2 linked regions of the Drosophila melanogaster genome follow. The protein of the gene in region 1 interacts with the protein of each later gene in a pairwise test. Each region holds a gene or a part of one and is shown in the gene's direction. Other genes may lie near its edges.

Region 1 (9,277 bases):
GTAACATTCGAAACCACTTTAAAAACCGAAAACCACGAAAATTGCATGGTTGCCCCCCGGAATTTGTGGAAATTTTCCAGTATTAGGCACAAGTACCCTAATACTGGGTACACACACATTATAAATTTGTAGTCCAACTAAAAATGAGTATTCACTCATCATTCACATCCTGGAAAATTCACATAGATATCTCGAGTTGGGTCTACAAACATTCTTTGACTTGTTAGACTCCTGTAAATGCATGAATACAGCAATGATTATGCAAATCTTTAAGAACGTATCACTTTAAGGACCTTCACACGCTACTTTGGGTGTCTTTTTTCGAAATGCACTGCATCTGCTTGGAATGCAACATTGACACTCCCCTTCATCCGCCGCCCACTTGGGCTTGTCAATCAAGACGATACTCTTCCTTCGTTAGGGGAGCTTTCTTCGACACTTTGTGAGATGTTCGTGCTGCAAGGACACGCTAAACGTATGCAAATCATTATGTTAATCGGGTACCATCAAATTTTTTGGCGTCATTCATCACACTGAGCCACACTTTGCACTTGGTAATAGCAGCTTCTCACTCGCCCGCTCCATTATCCCCTTCTCTCCAGCAGCTTTCAGCCCCTCCTTTCGTAGTAGTAGCCCATTCCCAAACCCTTTCCAACATCCTTCTGGACCACTGCTTGCTTTGCTCTTGCTGCTGCTTAACGCCCGCGTGGCTAAGCCAAAATTTACACAGGCACAGCGAGTTTGGTCGTCAAGGATGCTTGGTTATGCTGAAATTTGCACTTTTCCGACACACACACACACATGCAGTGAAAGGCACACACACACACACAAGGATATACACACATGTACTAGCAGCAGCATAAGTAAACAAGTTTAGTATAATCAACGGTTGGCTGCCTGCCGGGCTATACAAAAAAGTGTTGCACATCGGCTTACAAAATCCACACCCGCAACGAAGCCAACCTGCTCCCCCCACCCCCCCCCCCTCTTCCCTTCATGAGCATGTAGATGACGTAGTATATGTTTTTATTAGCATGCTTTGTATGCCCTGTACGCTGTCAGGCTCACGAGCAAGTCGGGGCTGGGCTGCATTTATCAGCGGAATGGGGGCAGGGGTTTTGGGCAGGATTCACCTGTCTCACGGCGCTCGTAAAACCACATTACCTGTGATTTCCGAACACAGGATGGCTTGTTCATCAGCGTTGCAGTCGAGCACGGGCACGAGGACGTAGCGATTGGGAACGGGATATCTGCCGGTGGCCCTTTGGCGCCATTGTGCCACGTTCATTGAATGTTTTTCTATTAATTTTTTATTGAATGATGCTTTTGCCCCACCACACAGCATACTTCCACGCAGGTTGGGAGTGGCTCATTCCCTGCGGCGGCATGCTAACTTTATTCAATTCCTTCGCTGCTCATGTGGAACACACACTCGATGTACCTCTCAACCTGTCCCTCTCTAACTGCATCCAGCGCTCCCTTTCTATCTTAGTTACATTCTCTATTTTCAGCCGGACAAGAGAAAGCTGTGTAATGTGGCTGAAAAATTGCTAGTACTCAGGATGCAACCTAGTCGAAGGAATGGCCATTAAGTACACTCGAGGCACAGATACCCTTGAATTGGATTAGGATTTAGGATTTAAACATGCAAATTCTAATAATACAAGCCATAAATTTAAATAAAATACCAAATTGTTCACTTTTCTCAAAGTTTATTAAGTCACAAACTTGTTAACTTTTCTGTGGTGGCTTGTGTTCAAATAAAACATCATATGATTAACAGCAAAGGGATCAAAGACTCGTATTAAATAAAATGTTTTCCCTATGGTATCTTTGGTAATCTCTTTGGTATCTCCCAGCTCCGTACACTCTATCTGTACCCCTAAACTCCCGCTGATAGGGCAACAAATGATCAACATGATGTGAAACATTTTGCTAGTTCCTTAAACTGAACAAAAGAAGACGAGTTGGGGGGCAAGTGGGGTCTGGCAAGCAAGAGTTCGGCAAGCTGGTTAAGCCTGGCATGCCACTCCATTTGGAAGACGGTTTTTTTTTACGGTTCGCCACAAGCTCATAAAAAACCTCCAAAATGGGTGACACACAAAGGAGTCGCACATGCACACACACAGCCACACCTTCACTTACATGAAGGCAATGAAATAAACAAAGCCGCAAAAGACACGAAAACCTCAGTGGAGCGAGAGAGATGGGCACATGGTGTGCGAAAGAGAGGGAGAGATGTTTCAGGAGAAAGAGACAGATGGTAAGCAAATTGCTGAGGAGTCCAAAAGCCGGACCGACGTCAAAATTATCGAGCAGCAGGTGTGCTCTTCTCCGTTTTCCCCATTTTTCTTTTTTTTCTCTTTCTCACTCTCATTGTGCCTCTCTCTTTCGCACATACTGACCCTCTCTTTCGCACACAGCCACTGGCATTATTGCTTTTGTGGCTTTTCGGTAAATATTTTGCATAAAATATCAATTTGATATGCAAACGGGCGAATATGTGAAAACGTGCGACTGCAATGACTACTCAGACTCTATGAAATTTAAATAAAAATCTGCAAGTGTAAATTTAATTAATTACTGAACATGTTTTTCAAACATAACTCTTTGTATTCACAATTGGCCGGAGGCCAACATATGTACATAGCTCGCTCTAAATAACGTTGCATAACTTTTGTAGCCGCAACTTTGAACAAGTCAGCTACGAATATCCTTCGGAAAAATGCAAATGATGGTTATTAAAATTCCAGGAAAAGGTCTTTATTTGGCACACCCACTCTAGATTAATTGAGAGCAGTTAAGGTGACATTAAGCCGAACCCAAAGGCAAAGAACCCAAAATGCAAATCGGGGGGAAAAAACGCTTGGAGATAATGTGGCCTGGCAAATGGCTATTTCACTCGATTTCGTCTAGTCCCGGCGATAAATTTCGAAAGCAGATTTACTTGTTGATTTCCCACGTAATTGAATTACTCGCGAATAAAGTGCGGACCAAATGGGTCCCGACATTTTCCTCCCAGAGGGCAAACAAATTGGGAAAAAAAAGGATTTTTGGGGCCAGCCCAAAAATTAATTTCATTTTGGTGTATTTACAGGGAATTTTTACGCTAACTTTTTGGTACAAAATACACAAATTTAAAAGGAATTTAAAAGGAAAAATGCTTTGCTCTAGCCCAAATGTCAAGGCTACAGAAAAAATTATATCTATCACAACTTGTTCATAATCATAACCCTTGCGGTCTTGTATAAGAACATGCCATTGTCCAGTCAGGCATTTAAATGTTAAAGTGAAAATAAATAGATAGATAACCAAATAGAATGTAAACAAATAGGTAAACAACGTGTCGCACCACTTCCACTTGTGTTGGGTATTTATTTGTTAATACGATATTTACGCCCCCCTAAATGGAAATGGGAAAATTTCCAATCAAAACAGCACAGCCAGTGTGGTAGTGGTAACCGTGTCACGTAGCCTGTTAACGGATGAAATAAATATTTCAGGCACAATTTCAGGGGCGGCAACGGCATCCACTTAGCTTTCTTTTTTTTCTTTTTTTTTTTGCCCCCAGTGGCTGCTATAAAAGTTGGTGCAACAACGAAATCCGGTTGAAAGACCAACATGGACGCCAGCTACTTTGCCGTCCAGAGAAGAGCTCTGGAAATAGTTGGATTCGATCCCAGTACTCCGCAACTGAGTCTGAAACATCCCATCTGGGCCGGGATTCTCATCCTGTCCTTGATCTCTCACAACTGGCCCATGGTAGTCTATGCCCTGCAGGATCTCTCCGACTTGACCCGTCTGACGGACAACTTTGCGGTGTTTATGCAAGGATCACAGAGCACCTTCAAGTTCCTGGTCATGATGGCGAAACGAAGGCGCATTGGATCGTTGATTCACCGTTTGCATAAGCTAAACCAGGCGGCCAGTGCCACGCCCAATCACCTGGAGAAGATCGAGAGGGAAAACCAACTGGATAGGTATGTCGCCAGGTCCTTTAGAAATGCCGCCTACGGAGTGATTTGTGCCTCGGCCATAGCGCCCATGTTGCTTGGCCTGTGGGGATATGTGGAGACGGGTGTATTTACCCCGACCACACCCATGGAGTTCAACTTCTGGCTGGACGAGCGAAAGCCTCACTTTTATTGGCCCATCTACGTTTGGGGCGTACTGGGCGTGGCAGCTGCCGCCTGGTTGGCCATTGCAACGGACACCCTGTTCTCCTGGCTGACTCACAATGTGGTGATTCAGTTCCAACTACTGGAGCTTGTTCTCGAAGAGAAGGATCTGAATGGCGGAGACTCTCGCCTGACCGGGTTTGTTAGTCGTCATCGTATAGCTCTGGATTTGGCCAAGGAACTAAGTTCGATTTTCGGGGAGATCGTCTTTGTGAAATACATGCTCAGTTACCTGCAACTCTGCATGTTGGCCTTTCGCTTCAGCCGCAGTGGCTGGAGTGCCCAGGTGCCATTTAGAGCCACCTTCCTAGTGGCCATCATCATCCAACTGAGTTCGTATTGCTATGGAGGCGAGTATATAAAGCAGCAAAGTTTGGCCATCGCACAAGCCGTTTATGGTCAAATCAATTGGCCAGAAATGACGCCAAAGAAAAGAAGACTCTGGCAAATGGTGATCATGAGGGCGCAGCGACCGGCTAAGATTTTTGGATTCATGTTCGTTGTGGACTTGCCACTGCTGCTTTGGGTGGGTTTTTAGTAATGGATTATTAAGGCATACTTAAGATATTATATCTTGCAGGTCATCAGAACTGCGGGCTCATTTCTGGCCATGCTTAGGACTTTCGAGCGTTAGCCCATCAAATCGAAGCTTGAGAATAGTTACCTCTTAATGAACAAAAATGATTATAATTTCTTAATCAATCAATAATCTTTAATAGTCGAGTACATTTATTTGGAAATATTCATGGGCAAGCGATCCAAACATCCACAACCCAACTCCAATCAGTTGCCATTTGGACGAGCATGTTTTTGACGGGCTCAGCTGCCCCGAAGGGATCTCATGCCCCAGGTTGATGCCACTGCAGGCAGATGGAGGAGCATATGAAATTCATGAGGGCATTCCACAAAGGCAGCTAGCGAAGCCAGCTCATGCGTGTGGCCATGATGTCAGTCGTGTGTGCATATGGGTACTCGTATGTATTGTATGTATATAGATGTATACACCAGGTAGTCGGAATTTGTTAGTATGAAAGTACGAAAGTATGCAACATCAGCAGCATCGTTCAGGTGGGGAACAAGTTGCTGAAAAATAGCTACTCAAACTATGTGCACCATGCTGCTTGCCAGCCAATGGCCTCGGGCTCCTTTTTCGACTCAGCCCGGGTCTTGAGCTAGTTTCGGGGCTTCGGGATCAGGATCAGGTGGAATGCGGACCTAAGAACCCTGCCCTTATCCTTCGTGCCTTGCGGAATGTTGCCTGCTACGGAATTTCTGGCTTGATGTTGCCGAGATTCGAATTCAGTCGGAGGCTAAGTCGCTTGAACGGAATTTGTTTTATTAAATTTTACAACTCGGTATTTTGCACATGCAAAATGGACTCAGTATTTCGGACTCCGTGCACCACCGTTTTACCAAAAAGCTGTGACAAATTGTGCGGGCGTGGAAGCCAGGCACCTCGGATTATGTTACAAATTACGACAGCGCTATTGCGGGCATAATTAATTTTTGTCTCTGACATTTGATTTATTGGTCTGCGTTGGTCAGCATCTTTGGCTTGACTTCGAAAAAACAAATGAGCAGCGATTAATAAGCGCGAATCGCTCCTGGCCATTACGCACCTGCGGCACAAACAGCCAACAAAATTCGAGCATCAACCTGCCACAGCTAGCTGGGTTTGCTGGGCGGTATAACTTTACAGCAAATTGTGGCCAAGATAAGAGCGGATGGCCAAGAGCCACAAGCTGAAAATAGTGGTGAAAAAAATCACCATTTTATGTGTATTAAAAATGTGAACAAAAACGAACAGGAGCGAGCACAGATTTTGTTTGCGGTTCGTTGAGCACACAATAATTCCATCAGCATCAGTGGCAGTAGGAAAAGTGGGCGTGGCAGGCGTGTGTGGGCGGTGGGGTAGAGATAAAAGTGCTGGCAGCACTTTCGCTGCATTGCTTTTTTTGTTTTTTTGCAGTTGTTGCGGTGTATTGTGTGGGCAGTGCCACGAGGCGAATGGTTAATAATCGAACAAAAAGGTCCTTAAAGCTGTCGCGCAGTGAGCAAACGTTTATGCAAAGTAAATTGATATGCAAACTGCAAATTTCAATGGCAATTCAAACTTAAATGTCCTAATGCAGTTTTATCTTTGTAAAACAAAATGGTGGCCAGCTGGTAGTTTCCCGCAAGCATTACCCCAGGGCTTATGGTTTGCATTTAACCAACAAAAAATCTAACCTAAAGTTTTACAACAAAATTGATTTTTCAATTTCAAAATGAATTGCCTGAAATGAAGAAAACAAAAACTATCAGTATTTTAATGCGAAAATTGAAATGCCAAGCTTAAATCAAGTTCGCAATGCGGAAAAGTGGCCAAACACTTATTCAATTCACCCGAAGTGGAAATTCAAATTTTCGAACACAAATGCTAATTCAAATTAAATGGAAAAACCCAGCCGTTTTCACGGTAATTCCACCTCTTTGGCCACCGGAAAATAGGAAGCACAAAAAATGTCCCACTTTAATCGGGCTTGTGTTTGCCAAAGCTATATTTTCATCTGTATATATGTACAATATAAATGTATAACATATATTTTTCGGTTAAGCATACAAGGCGGCTGTGCAGGGCCTTGATGAAACTTTTCTAATTAAAATTGTGCGGCTTGTTGAAAGGTTTTTCCAACGGCGAGGGGCCGGCGAAGGGCGGGCGCGGAGATAGCCAGTTTTAATAGAAATTACATTAATTAATATTTAAAATATGCTTAAATACACATTCCTATGCATTAATTAATACGGGCTGGCGGCACACATACAGCGAGTAAACAATGAAACGTGACTGGAACTAACAACGAATTGCGCCATAAGCCAAACGTTGGCAGGCAGGCACTCCAACTCCAGGACTAAACGGAGATTTGACTAATTACAGCACGCCCCCTAATTTCTTGTTTATTTGGTTAAATTTAATTTCAAATGCCACAAATGCGACAATCGAGCTGAGCCATGGGGCAAACAGTAGCGGTGATTACAATGTTTTATTGACTGTTTTTACCCACATAATTGCCACAGATTTGGACATTGTCCAAATCGACTTGTTTTCCCCTCGAGACGAGACGAGTCTCCCCACTTCCGAAATCGCTTCTCCCAGTCGCTATTTTCGTCTCCTCAGCTCAGTTTGGAAACTTTGATTTACGCCACCCGTTCCTAACCCACTTTTATGGGACTTTGTGTGACCCATTTGAACATTTGGCTTGCAGCGGCTCCCTTGCGAGGATGTGGATGGGAATGTGGATGCCACATGCATGACAAGCACTTATGCAAATTATATGGCGCACTTATGTGCGGGCAGAGGATTCGACTTTATTTGTCGGAATTTCGATGGGATTTTCAGCAGCAAAATTAAAATAAAACATAAATGTATAACAAACTTTCACTAAGTGCAAGCGGGTTCAAGCGAATAATGGTCATAATTTTTTTGCGAGATAAAATATTAATACTGAACTCGACCAGAAATAGTGAATTCTAAAATGATTCCATATATGTCATATAGAAACATATTAGGCTAATTAGTTGTTAAAATTATACGTCGAATGAATCATTCAGAACCATTATTCGGTTTTTTTTTGTTCTGGACATTGATTCACACGACTATATGTTTTCCTTTTTAAATGTAATTCATACTTTTAAGCTAAACAAATAAATAGACGCCCAAAGTTGCAAGAAAAAAAAAAAAAAATAATTTAAAAATTTAACAAACACATAAATATTTGCAAGCACACAGGAAAACGATTGGTTAAACACAAATTTTTCACATGTTTGGAACCAGAACATTCTGGGCAGAAATCAATCAACATATTTGCACTCTTTCGAAAGAACGTTCTGCACTTAAAAGCATATCAAAATTGAAATTTCAGTAGGAGCAGAGCGCGAATGGTAATTAAAAACCGAAAATGTTTTTCGCCTTCTTCCTGGAATGTCATTAAATAATCAGCATGGCGGCTATCATTATCCGTCATTCGCAACCAAATACAATAATTAATGATGCCACAGAGCCCGCCCAAATTGCAATTACCTTATGCATAATTAAATTATAATTCATTAGACATGAGCCCTTGCTGTCTAAATCACAGCACTTAAATATTACCAATGCGAAAAACCATCTCGATACGTAATCAAATGAGACTAAATCAATAGGCTTAAAATGGGTCTTTAGCCCCTACAACATTTTTTAAGCACTTTATAACGAGCAAATTTTTCTAAAGGGGGTCTTGACTCGACTCATTTGGGTAAATCAACTCGATGGCAACTCGATGCTGAGATGCACAGATAAAAATGGTATTGTGATTATACAACATTTAGACGGGTAGTTAAGGGGCGAAGCTGGATGATATGGAAATTGCAAATGCCATTGTTTGTGCCGAAGTGGGACTGTGAATGTGAAATTGTTTAGAGGCGACGCGCGACAAGAAAATCGCAGAGCAATGGGCGGGGGAAATGTTTGAAAAATGACTTTTCTTCGGCACTGAGAATCCGCTCGGCAATGAGTCTGCCATTTTCTTGTTGCAATGTCGCATGAGCTGGTGATTTCTTTTGTGTACATATATTGTGTGTATTGCTTATTGGGTGTGGATTTGAAAATGTGTACTTTATAATGCGAATTCAATTATTTTGGCAAAATCGGTTTTGTTTTTCTTGTGTACATTACAATTTTGGGATCCACTCCGGCCTTTGGGTTCGCCTTCGTCGACCTCATTTTCCTTTCTTCGTTCGTAGGGCTCGTCCTTTTTCCCAGCCGTCTTACAGGATATTTTCAATTTTTGCGGCAGGATATTGCCGTTGCTTTATTTGCCGTGTGCGCTTACTGTTTTAATTATCTTGCCTGATTTGATTTTCCATTCTTTTTTAATTAATTTCGTTTGAGCATAGTTTATTTATTTATGCGTTTTATGGGCGATTTTCAGCATTCGATTTCCACGCGCTTGTTGGTTTTTGCTTGTTTTTTCTTTGCTGGCGAAACCTTTTTAATCATTTGTTTTACAAAAATGTTTGCGGCTGTTTTTTCCCGTTGGTGTTTTCGGTTGTAATGATATTTGTTTTTTTTATTTATATTT
Region 2 (10,063 bases), on another chromosome or scaffold:
GATTGGGTAATGTGCAGCTAGGTCGGCTCAGCCTGCATACAATCGAAGCCACCAGCTTGACGGGGACGGAGCAGAAATCGTCCAGGGAGAGCTACCACATACGCTCTCTGGCCGAGATCAGTCTGGAACCAATGGAGCTACGCACCTTTAACCTTACTTTCCGCTCGGAGGTGTAAGGTGGCTGCAGTGTATTTAGCGGAAATAGTTATCATATTTATTTGTGGTTTAGTTCTAATAGTTAGTGGTAAACGCCAAGTGCAAAGTTTTCAGCTTTATTTAGTTCTCGTCACGTCTAATGTCTGTCTCCAACAGTTTTGAAAGTACAAAGCACACGACATAGTTATAAACATACAAACATAGGGTGGTTAGGTTTTTTTTTTTTTGTTGATTCATGTAGAATGAAAGTTAATGACTAGTTCGAATTCTGTTCGTCTGTTTAAAAGATCAAAGCGTAAGAAGAAACGAGGCTACGTCTAGTTACCTGTTGACTTTTCTAAAAAACGTATATTTTATTCAAAAAGGTATAATATTACAAACTACATGTTAGCCAGAAATTCTTTAAACTCTTTATTTATATAAATCGACCCACCCAAATAAACCTTCAGCTCGACTTAATGCAATAGGCCAAAATACCCAACTCGACTGCCCTGAGCAATGCATTCCGCTTAAGCCTCCCAGCTTCATACCCTAAAATATATGTGCAATAAACTTGAACTAAATCGCACCATGGAAATGAAACAGCTTAGATTAAGAACTAGCTTGATTTTAGAATGAAATATTTAGAGAGCAAATTAAATCAATTTTTGTTTTCGTTTGCGCGATTAGCGTTCGCATCGATTTGTTTAGACTGATTAGCCTAAAACGATTGCAAAATTGGCATGTAATATTAATCTCAATTAATCTATTCACTCCTAGCCCTTATCCAGAATTAACCAAAACACAAGTGTATGTAGGATATAAGTTTTAAACGAGCAACGTAGTGGGGTAGCAAAAGTATAAGCCAAATATTACATTACATTCACTAGCAATATTGTAAATAGTCGAATAGGATTTCCAGGCACGGTAAAAATAGCTCTAATATCCGATATACCACTTATAGATTTAAGCTAAGCCCTCTCTCAGCTCTGGTATTGTCGTATACGAGAGTCATTCAAATAGTTACTACTGAATTCAGAAACAAAGCATTCAAAGCAAGCAAGACATAAACTCTAAAATATCCAGAACGTAGGGATAAAATGACGAAGGATGGGATGGATTACTTCTAACGGAAACAACTGTTTTGTGTATTTATTTATAAAAACTTATTACTATATATCTAATTTTATGGATACAAGAAAATAAAGTATTATATGAAACCAATTGTGGAATGTGCGTTTGTCATTGAAACGAATTGCAAGAGCGATTCTCCGAGAAGATTTACTTCTTATCTTTAAATATTTTCAACGAAAGTACTGGGCAAGAATATATCAAGTGAAATTGATATGGTCCCGAAAGTATGCTTATTAAATTTAACTTTATAAAAATGTAATCAATATAACCACAACTAGAACGTAATGGTGTGAGTTTCAAACAGAAAAATGTTTTCCATGGCATTTATTATTAATTGCTAGACGGCTTGGCTTGCCTCATTTTAGAACCCACTTAACTTATAGTTAACCAGAAACAAAAACCACAGACGTTAGCCAAATATTGGCACTATATCGTTTGTCATTTGCCTAGTCCGGAACCACTTCGTACATGTTTGCGCCCTTCATGAGCAAATAGCCACCCAGGTTAGCCATTTCCACCAGCTGGCTAAAGCCAGTCAAAATGCCAGCCCGGGTTCCAATTTCCTTTAGCTCATCGAATTCGAAGATGCGTCGCCCCAATGCCGCCGAACGTCTCTTCGTAAGCTCCAAAAAATTGCGCAGTTGAGCGCTCTTTCCGGCTCCTCCTCCAGCGCCGCCTCCTCCTCGAGTTCCTTGCCTGCTGGAGCCCTCCTTGAGGCTGGTCTGGGTGATGCTCTCGGTCAGCAGGGCGATCACATCGCGCACGTGCTGCGGACTGACCACGTGGGATAAATCCAGGCGAGCACGTGCCTGCGACAGGTGAATTATCGCAAGAAGTTGCCTTACAAGAAGAATAAGCCAATATAAGTGTTACCTTATAATTTAAGGTTCTTAAATAAATCTTACAACTGTATAAAATTGCCTTTAGGTATTTCATAAATGAAACACAAGCAGACTGTGAACACCTTAATTAGTATTTTTTAGATTAGTATTCTTATAGTAAGTAAACATATATATGGGCAAAATTGATAAAGCAGGTTTGTTGCCTAAGTCTTTTGATTTCTGACCTTTTGCCAAAAGTTCTTCAAACGTGTATTCCATTTTGTTTCCATTTTGAGCACAGTTTTCAAATTTAAGGTCCCGAGGCCGTACGTGGGCCTCATCTTCTTGACCCTCAATTAATTTCGCATCTTGTTTTTCTCATCATTTACGCCGTAGGTAAACATTTCTTTTCAGAAGTATGATAATATATGTATCTCCATATTTGCCGAAAACTTGTTTTGGCAGATGAATGTTTTTAATTGTATTTCTAAGTCACCCAACTGGTCGTACAATCACGCCCAACACTTTTGCTAATTAAGCTTTATTCTGGCGTACTTTAAATGGATTTGATAAAAATATTTGATTTTAAATTTAAAATTCCAGCTCCTTTTCGTAAGTTTTCGCCCAAAACAAAAATAGGTATAAGTGGGCAACTCTGATGCCCAATGAAAACTAACTCGATCGGAAACCCGAAATGTAATCATAAATCAGTTGGATGTGGGCGACTGAAGAGCCCAGCATCGAACATGTTCCAACGCATTTTTCCCTTTGCCTTTTTATTTTATTTTTCGGAAACCAACGCATTTCTCGGGGGAGTTTTGAAACCCATCATCATTACAGCAACTGCATCGACAGAGGCAGAGGCCGAGGCATAGGCAGCGAAGCCCCATCTCATCCAGAGGCCCTAGACGCACGCATCTGTTCGGACCGCATTTCATTCTCGGCTCGCACGTTGGCGCAAACGGTTCATTAGCTGGCGGATCAATTCCATTCGGTCGGGTTTCGATTGGGTTTTGGGCCAAAAGTGCATTTCCTAACATCGGCATTGGCCGGACAGCAGAAGCCCCTGGGTCTGGTCATCTGCTTTGTTTTTTTGCTTCATTTACCTCGAGTCGCGTCGGTTGATGAAATTCCGCTTCTTATTGTTATTGGTGCGCTGGCGTTGCATTCGATTGGAGTTCGAGTGACGAAAGTGCCAAGAGTCGAAGACAATCAATTAGAGGGTGCATTACAATCGGCGATTCGATGCATCCCATGACGATGATGATGCTTCACATCGTGATTTTAGCAGCCACTTTTACGGCTGCGCAGTGTTTTCAATTGAACAGTAAGTGTGTATTACAATCAATGGGAAAGATTTATGTTCCGTGTTAATTTTGTTTATGAGCCTATTAAAAGTTCTGATAGTTGTTAAATAATCAGACTAGCAATATGTAAATGGTGTAGGAAGGCTTGTGCTAAGTAGAGAACGTAATACTCTTCTCAAATCAACAATTTCATAAACTAATAAATGAGTTCTAGTATTTGAGTAACTAGAGTTATAGGGGAATTATAGAGCTTGTATTGAATAAATATTACAACGTAGTTAAAACCACAAATCACGTAAAACCCATGATTAATGCAAGTTGAATAAGCGTTTTTCGTGCTTCCTTTGGCAACGGGGAAGTTCTAAGCCGACAAATTGAAAACCATTATGCAGTTCCATTTGTTCAGATTGCATGTTATGCTTGTCAATCGATATAACTATAGAACACTTTGCCAACGCTAGCATTATCCCAATATGCACCTGATCCGCCTATTTGCGTGTTCGGCTCCAAAAGTTCCCCGCCCGAATTCGGGCTACAAATTTGATGACGAAGCAGTATTTTGACAAACAATTAACTCAGCCAAAGTGTCTGGAATTTGCCAAGAGATTGAGGCACTCGAACTTGACTTGACCAGCAAAAAAAAAAAAAAAAAACCAAAGGCAGTGCGATTACAATATTGACATATGCTTGTTTGGTTGATTCCATCAATCGGAATAGAGAAGAATCGGAAGAATCTTCCAGCAAATGCAAAACAAGTTCAAGCTCGGGCAAAGGAAACTAGTTTCCTTTCACTTGACTGACCAGCCAATGAACCCGGACTGCAGTTCTAGCGAAAAAAGGACCTGCCCAGTTCAGAAACTTGTTTCCCACTTAATGAGCCGATTTATCCGACTGATTCACCATATTGTTTCTTGATCTGCTCCGTTCCCTTCCACTTTGCAGTGACGCAGTTCTATGAGATGCCTCCTCTATACGACTTGGATGACTATGATCGTTGCCTCCAGGAATTGAATGGCCAGGCGTCCACTTACTGCTTCGTCCGCGCGGAAGTCCAGCCCGATGAGTCTGTAGCGGCATGGCGGGCAATTGCAGAGATTTCGCAGTACGATCGCCATCACTTCGATCACCGACAGCTCTATTTCGGTCTCTGCCTGCGCGAATGTGAGGCGTCTCTGGCCGGGTTGAATAAAAGCGAACTGGAGGCCCTGCAAGCCGGCCTGCTATCGGAAAATGCAAAGGTAAGGCCACACGGAGGTGTCACCTCATTGGTAGCGATTCAGCTGCGGCTAACGATCGATTTAATTCAATCTTCGAATTCGCTGCTGGGCAGATACAGATACAAATACACATATTTCAAAACCCATCCGCTTGCCGAGGCGTCGGCCGTAATGGTCAATCAACAATCATCGGACACAGAAGCCGGGATAACAACGCCAAAGTTTATTCAACTCGAGCTCCCCGTGAGCTGCACATTATGTGGGCAGTGGCGCAGTAAAGGGGGTTTTAGTTCACATATTTGTCATTGGCATATACAAAGGTTTATATCTGCTTGCTATAAAGAGCTATCATGTTTTAACTTCTTAAATATTCGAGTATGTTTTTAAACAGGTTTATCGTTTTTTGAAAGTGGCCAATTTCAAGGGTCCCTCTCACAACGAACATAAAATGAATCCCATTTCAAAGATCCCCCTTGCAGACGCCTCTGGCTAAATGCGTGATCTGTATCTTCATTACCTATAAATATTGCATAAATTACAGCCGGAAAATCCGCTGATTAAACATCGGATAGCGGGGCAATGGGTGCTGCCAGCAGATGGGAGATGGGGATGGGGAATGGTGTGGCGATGCCATTGATGCAGTCGCCATCAAAATGCATTTACGATGGCTGATTAAACAAAGCGCTTATATTGGCTTAGGCGTTGGCTAAAAATGGAAATGGGCGGTCAGACAGCGAAATTCGATCCAATTCCATCAAATCAAATCGAACTCATTTCTTTCAAGGCCAAGGGCCTGACGTTGACATTTTGGTATTTTAATGATCGCAACATGGTCAATGCAATATTCGGCAGGTGAACGTATATCTGGACTTGTTCTCGATGGAAGCCAATAACCGCCAACGGCACCAGCGCTTGACAAATGCCTGCCTGAACTGGCGTCTGCAGCGTCGTGGATTCGGGGTGCTGGCCAAGAGCGTGGTGGAGTACTGCGATGAGGCGGGACATCAAGTGGAAGATGGTGAGTCACAGATTATATCATCGTGTAAATAATGTTTCTTTGCATTAGCATCCAAAAAGTGTTATGCATTTAATGGCGATGAGGTAATACTAACGACCGATAAAATAAATATTCCTTCTCGGCTTTAGATGCGTGGAACCTGACCTTCTACGGAATCTTGGGCACTCTACTGGTTCTGGCTTGTCTGGGTAGCTTAGTGGATCTGCATCTAAAGCGAAGCCGTCATGATAAAATGCTCAAGGAGCGAGATCACTACAAGACACCGCCCAAGAGCACTGCCCAACAGGTGCTGCTCACCTTTTCGGTGGCCCGCAATTGGTACCGACTTAATCAGGAGCCAAGTGGTAAGATCGGTCGCGAGCTGAGATTTCTCGACTGCTTCAAGTTCTTTGCCATGTTCATGGTGATATTTGCGCACACCAACTGGGTGATTTACGAGAGCGCCATCAGCAATCCGCAGGATCCGGAGCGACTGCTTCACACGGCAGCTGGCACTTTACTCGTTTCGGGATCATTGATCACTGTGACCTTTTTTGTGATCAGTGGTTTGTTGCTTACCATTAACTGGCTGGCCGTTTCACGTTCGCTAGAATCTAAAAAGGACACCTGGAGCTTCGGCCAGTATGCTTTGCTATTTGTCAAGTTTAACATCTTCCGATACATCCGACTGACGGTTCCATATGCCTTTGTATTGCTCATGAGTGGCGTTTACTTTGAGAACGCTGGAGGTCCACTGTGGCGGCACATCTTTGAGCGGGAGCAGTTGGCTTGTCGACGCAACTGGTGGACCAATCTGCTCTACGTCAACAACTTTGTACGCACGGATGAGCGGGTAAGTAATGAGTGCTTTATCTAATTTATCATCTAATCCACTCAAAATTCCATTCGGGATGCAGTGCCTGCTCCAAGGTTGGTATTTGGCAGCGGATACTCATTCCTTTGTGCTCAGCTTGGTGCTGCTGATGCTGGGTCACCGGTTCGTCAGATGGAGCAAACAGCTCTATGCGGGCATTTTGGGTCTTTTTGTGGTGGTGCCAATGGTGCTCACATATGCCATGAACTACTATCCCATTTTTGTACCCACGCCACAGTAAGTGATCGGACTTAAAAACTTTACTACTTGATTACAATCATTCTACCCATCTACCAAACAGAACCCAGAAGGATTCCTTTATCGGAGATCGTCAATTCACCGAATTCTACACGTCGTCCTTTATGAACTTCGGTAGCTATTTCTGTGGAGTCCTGGCCGCTTTGGTTTACGATCAGTTGGCATTGAAGCAATACAAACTACGGGAGTTAAAGAGCTTCCAGCTTCTTTGGTTTACACTTATTCCAGTGGGGATTCTATGGCTGTTTAGTGCTCATCCCATCTTCCAGCACTACTACGTGACGCCGTCGGCCATTTGGGGAGCATTATATGCCGGCCTGCAGCGAAACATCTGGGGCTTCGGGCTGGGAATCTTCATCGTGGGCATGGCCAGCAAAGTGGGATGTAAGTATCAACTGCGAGATATGCTTGGTATATCCTTGGCAAATCTTACTGTTCTTTCACAGGGATTTTCCGTAAGTTCTGCTGCTTGCCCATTTTCCGCATTTTGGGACGCCTCACTTATGGAGCCTTTATCGTCCACCTTCTTGTGGCGAGAATCGTCTTGGCCACAGTGCGGGAGCCCATTTATTTTGGCACGGGCATGATGGTGAGCTCACTTCTGGCATTCAATAGGAATTGGATTTTATGTAACTCAAATTGTTCTCATCTTATCTACAGTTTGCTTTCATCTTTTTTACGGTGACCGTGTCCTATCTCTGCTCCTTCTTGCTGGCCATCTTTCTGGAGCTTCCCGTCTCCTCCTTCCTCAAGCTTATGAGGTAGCCCAATGTCCTAACTTAAAGATTACTTATAACTAGAATAAAAGACATAACTTAATTAAATCCGTCACCAAAAAATTTCACTTACCCTGCGCCAATCTGGCTGGAAACGTCTTCATCGAGATTGCAGCTTCCTTTGAGCTCAAGGAAGTAACGCAGAACAGCATTGCTGGCGTCCTCGTTTAGGACCGGATTTAATTCCTGGCGAGCATAGGACAAGAACTTCTTAATCAGTATGGGTGGGAGCAGGTCCAAGTCCCCCTCCTCCGGAAGTACCTCCAGACGTTTGTCAAGATCATAATCCTGCTGCATAATGCTGTCATTATCGTCCTCCGTTTTGATTGTGTCATCATCTTTTCCCGCTGCCGGCACATTAAGGCTGACCTCGCACATGGAGTCGCTCATTTTGGGCTTAAGAGCATAGCGGGCTGCAATTCTCGCTCGTTTCCTAGCGCCCGCATGGAGAGCCCTTACGTGGGCAGTCAGCGACATATCTCTCTCCGAGGGCTTGTCCAATAATATGTAAACCAAATGGAACTCCCGCAGCAAAGAGGGTGAAATATTAATATTCTGTAGAAGGTAGCGCCCCTCATCGTATTGTCCTCTTTGTGGATTTGCGCACGCTATCACCGAAGGTTGCGCCGGGAATGAGGCAAATGCTCCTGCAAGTGGAAGATTTACTTCCTCTGATTGTAGGCACTGCAACAGTACGGCCTGCTTGGAGGCAAGTTTATCCACATCATCGAGGGTGCAGTGACCGCCTCCACTGGCCATCATCAAGGAACCCGCTTGTAGCACACGCTTGTTACGCCCAGCAAACGTAACACCCAGTTGCTGTGCGGATTGAGCCCCACGTTTTCCACTCACGTGGGCACCACGTTCAGCGATCTGAGCACAACTTTGCAGAATCTTGGTCTTTCCAATTCCGGGATCACCCACCAGGAGCACGTTGATGGCTTCAGTCTCCGCACCTTTCCCGCCGAGAAGGGATAGTAAACAGGCGGCTTTGGGTAGCTCATGTCCGTATACCTCCGGGGCAATGGATTGCACCAGTAGCTTAAAGCTGTTGGGTTCCGCATTGATCATGACAATCGCTTCCAAGTCACGTTCGCTGAACTCCCGCTTGATGCTGCTCGCATCGCGAATGCTGACTGCCTTGAGATAGGGCTGCATCTGGTTGGAGGTGTCTCCAGTGGTGGTATCGTCGCCCAATTCCTGCAGCTTAAGGATGCCAGTTACCACGACCTCCTGTCCGACACGCACAGCATCAACTAGATCATGTCGCAGCTCCACGTCCATTTCAGCAGGCATGCTGGTCTCAAAGTCGTGGACCAAGTTCAAACTGGACTCCTCCACGCGGATAATCTGTCGGATTGAAAGCCTGGTGTATGGGGAACTGCGAAGAGGCACGAATTCGTCACGAGCCACACACTCCGACCGCTTGCATTGATAAGGACGTGGCTGGAAGGTTCCCCGTTGGCGCATGGCAATCTCCATCTGGCAGCGACTGCAGCGAAAGGCTTGCCACGTGAGGCTGTAGCTAGGCTCGCCCACATTGCTCACAAAACCCCGGATGGAAAACAAAGTGTCCACTCGGGAATGGCTTATTCCTTCTATTGATTCCACAGGCACAAAATCATCCGGTCGTGCGTAGATCTTGCGTACCCGTGGGGTTGGAAGGACGTACTGTTCCGGAGTGGACACCATAGCTGTGGTGGAATCATTACAGTCCAGCTGGTGATTGACGACCACAGTGTGCATAGCCAACGACAGGGTTCCTAGCGTGCGAAGCGGGTGCTCACGGATGTCTTCGGACAAACTAGGCCAAACCTCCTTTAGCTGGGCATCTGATTTGATGCCTGCTGCGCAGAGGGGGAAGAATCCCCGATCCCGTATCATCACAAAATCGAAGGTGTGAGGATTACGTTGGTAGTATGCCTCCACGGCCATTATCCTTGTGGCCAGTTCGTTGCCCTCCTCGTATTTCTCGCGCAAGAAGTACAGTCGCCAGCCGGAATAAGCCCGTGGATTATCCACCGCAATGCTCTGCACCTGGAGCCCGTCTTCTGGTGCGGCATAGTTTTCCGGCCGCAGAAAGCTGCAGTCCAAGTGAGCATTGCGTCCTCGCTTGCCGGCTGTGCGGCTCCAGCCCCTGGGTTGCCGAGTTGCAGGCGGAACAGAAGGAGCGTCTGGTGCTCCAGGTTCCCCTTGGTTGGGTTGTCGATTGCCTCCGGCTGGGATCACACGTCCATTGCGCCGAAAGTAGAAGTACGGACGGTAGGCTCCGCCTCCGCGACCACGACCACGCACAAATCGCGATGGGGCGCCCCCCCGGGAAAGCGTTGGATTCATTTCAGCTGGGGAAAGTTTACAAATTTGCCCGCTTTTAAATAGAGATGATACCTATATTACAAATGACATGAAATATCGATAACGATCTTTGGCTAAGATATTGAACCCTTAACGATTTTATATTTAAACTTATAAATCGATGTAATAAAATTATTTTGGAATTATTTCGGCGGACACTTGTGATATCTTCGATTCTTGCTTCAGTAT

What was found. The genes of interacting proteins can lie anywhere in the genome.
Region 2: the proteins of Or45a (region 1) and CG4576 interact in a two-hybrid assay, tested with the Drosophila melanogaster proteins (one large-scale study listed by BioGRID).

Annotation. Positions count from the first base shown.
Region 1 is NT_033778.4:9,341,801-9,351,077, forward strand, and holds Or45a (odorant receptor 45a), read left to right. Parts: upstream 1-3,548; 5' UTR 3,549-3,621; coding exon 3,622-4,704; intron 4,705-4,758; coding exon 4,759-4,812; 3' UTR 4,813-7,063; downstream 7,064-9,277. UniProt on the Drosophila melanogaster protein: Odorant receptor which mediates acceptance or avoidance behavior, depending on its substrates. The odorant receptor repertoire encodes a large collection of odor stimuli that vary widely in identity, intensity, and duration.
Region 2 is NT_033777.3:15,822,762-15,832,824, forward strand, and holds CG4576 (uncharacterized protein), read left to right. Parts: upstream 1-2,985; 5' UTR 2,986-3,335; coding exon 3,336-3,417; intron 3,418-4,339; coding exon 4,340-4,635; intron 4,636-5,466; coding exon 5,467-5,632; intron 5,633-5,760; coding exon 5,761-6,464; intron 6,465-6,528; coding exon 6,529-6,722; intron 6,723-6,786; coding exon 6,787-7,127; intron 7,128-7,189; coding exon 7,190-7,332; intron 7,333-7,403; coding exon 7,404-7,508; 3' UTR 7,509-7,560; downstream 7,561-10,063. Other genes in the region: alpha-Man-IIb (alpha-Mannosidase class II b), read left to right, coding at 1-176; rec (recombination-defective), read right to left, coding at 1,716-2,109, 7,593-9,856; CG43318 (uncharacterized protein), read right to left, coding at 10,007-10,063.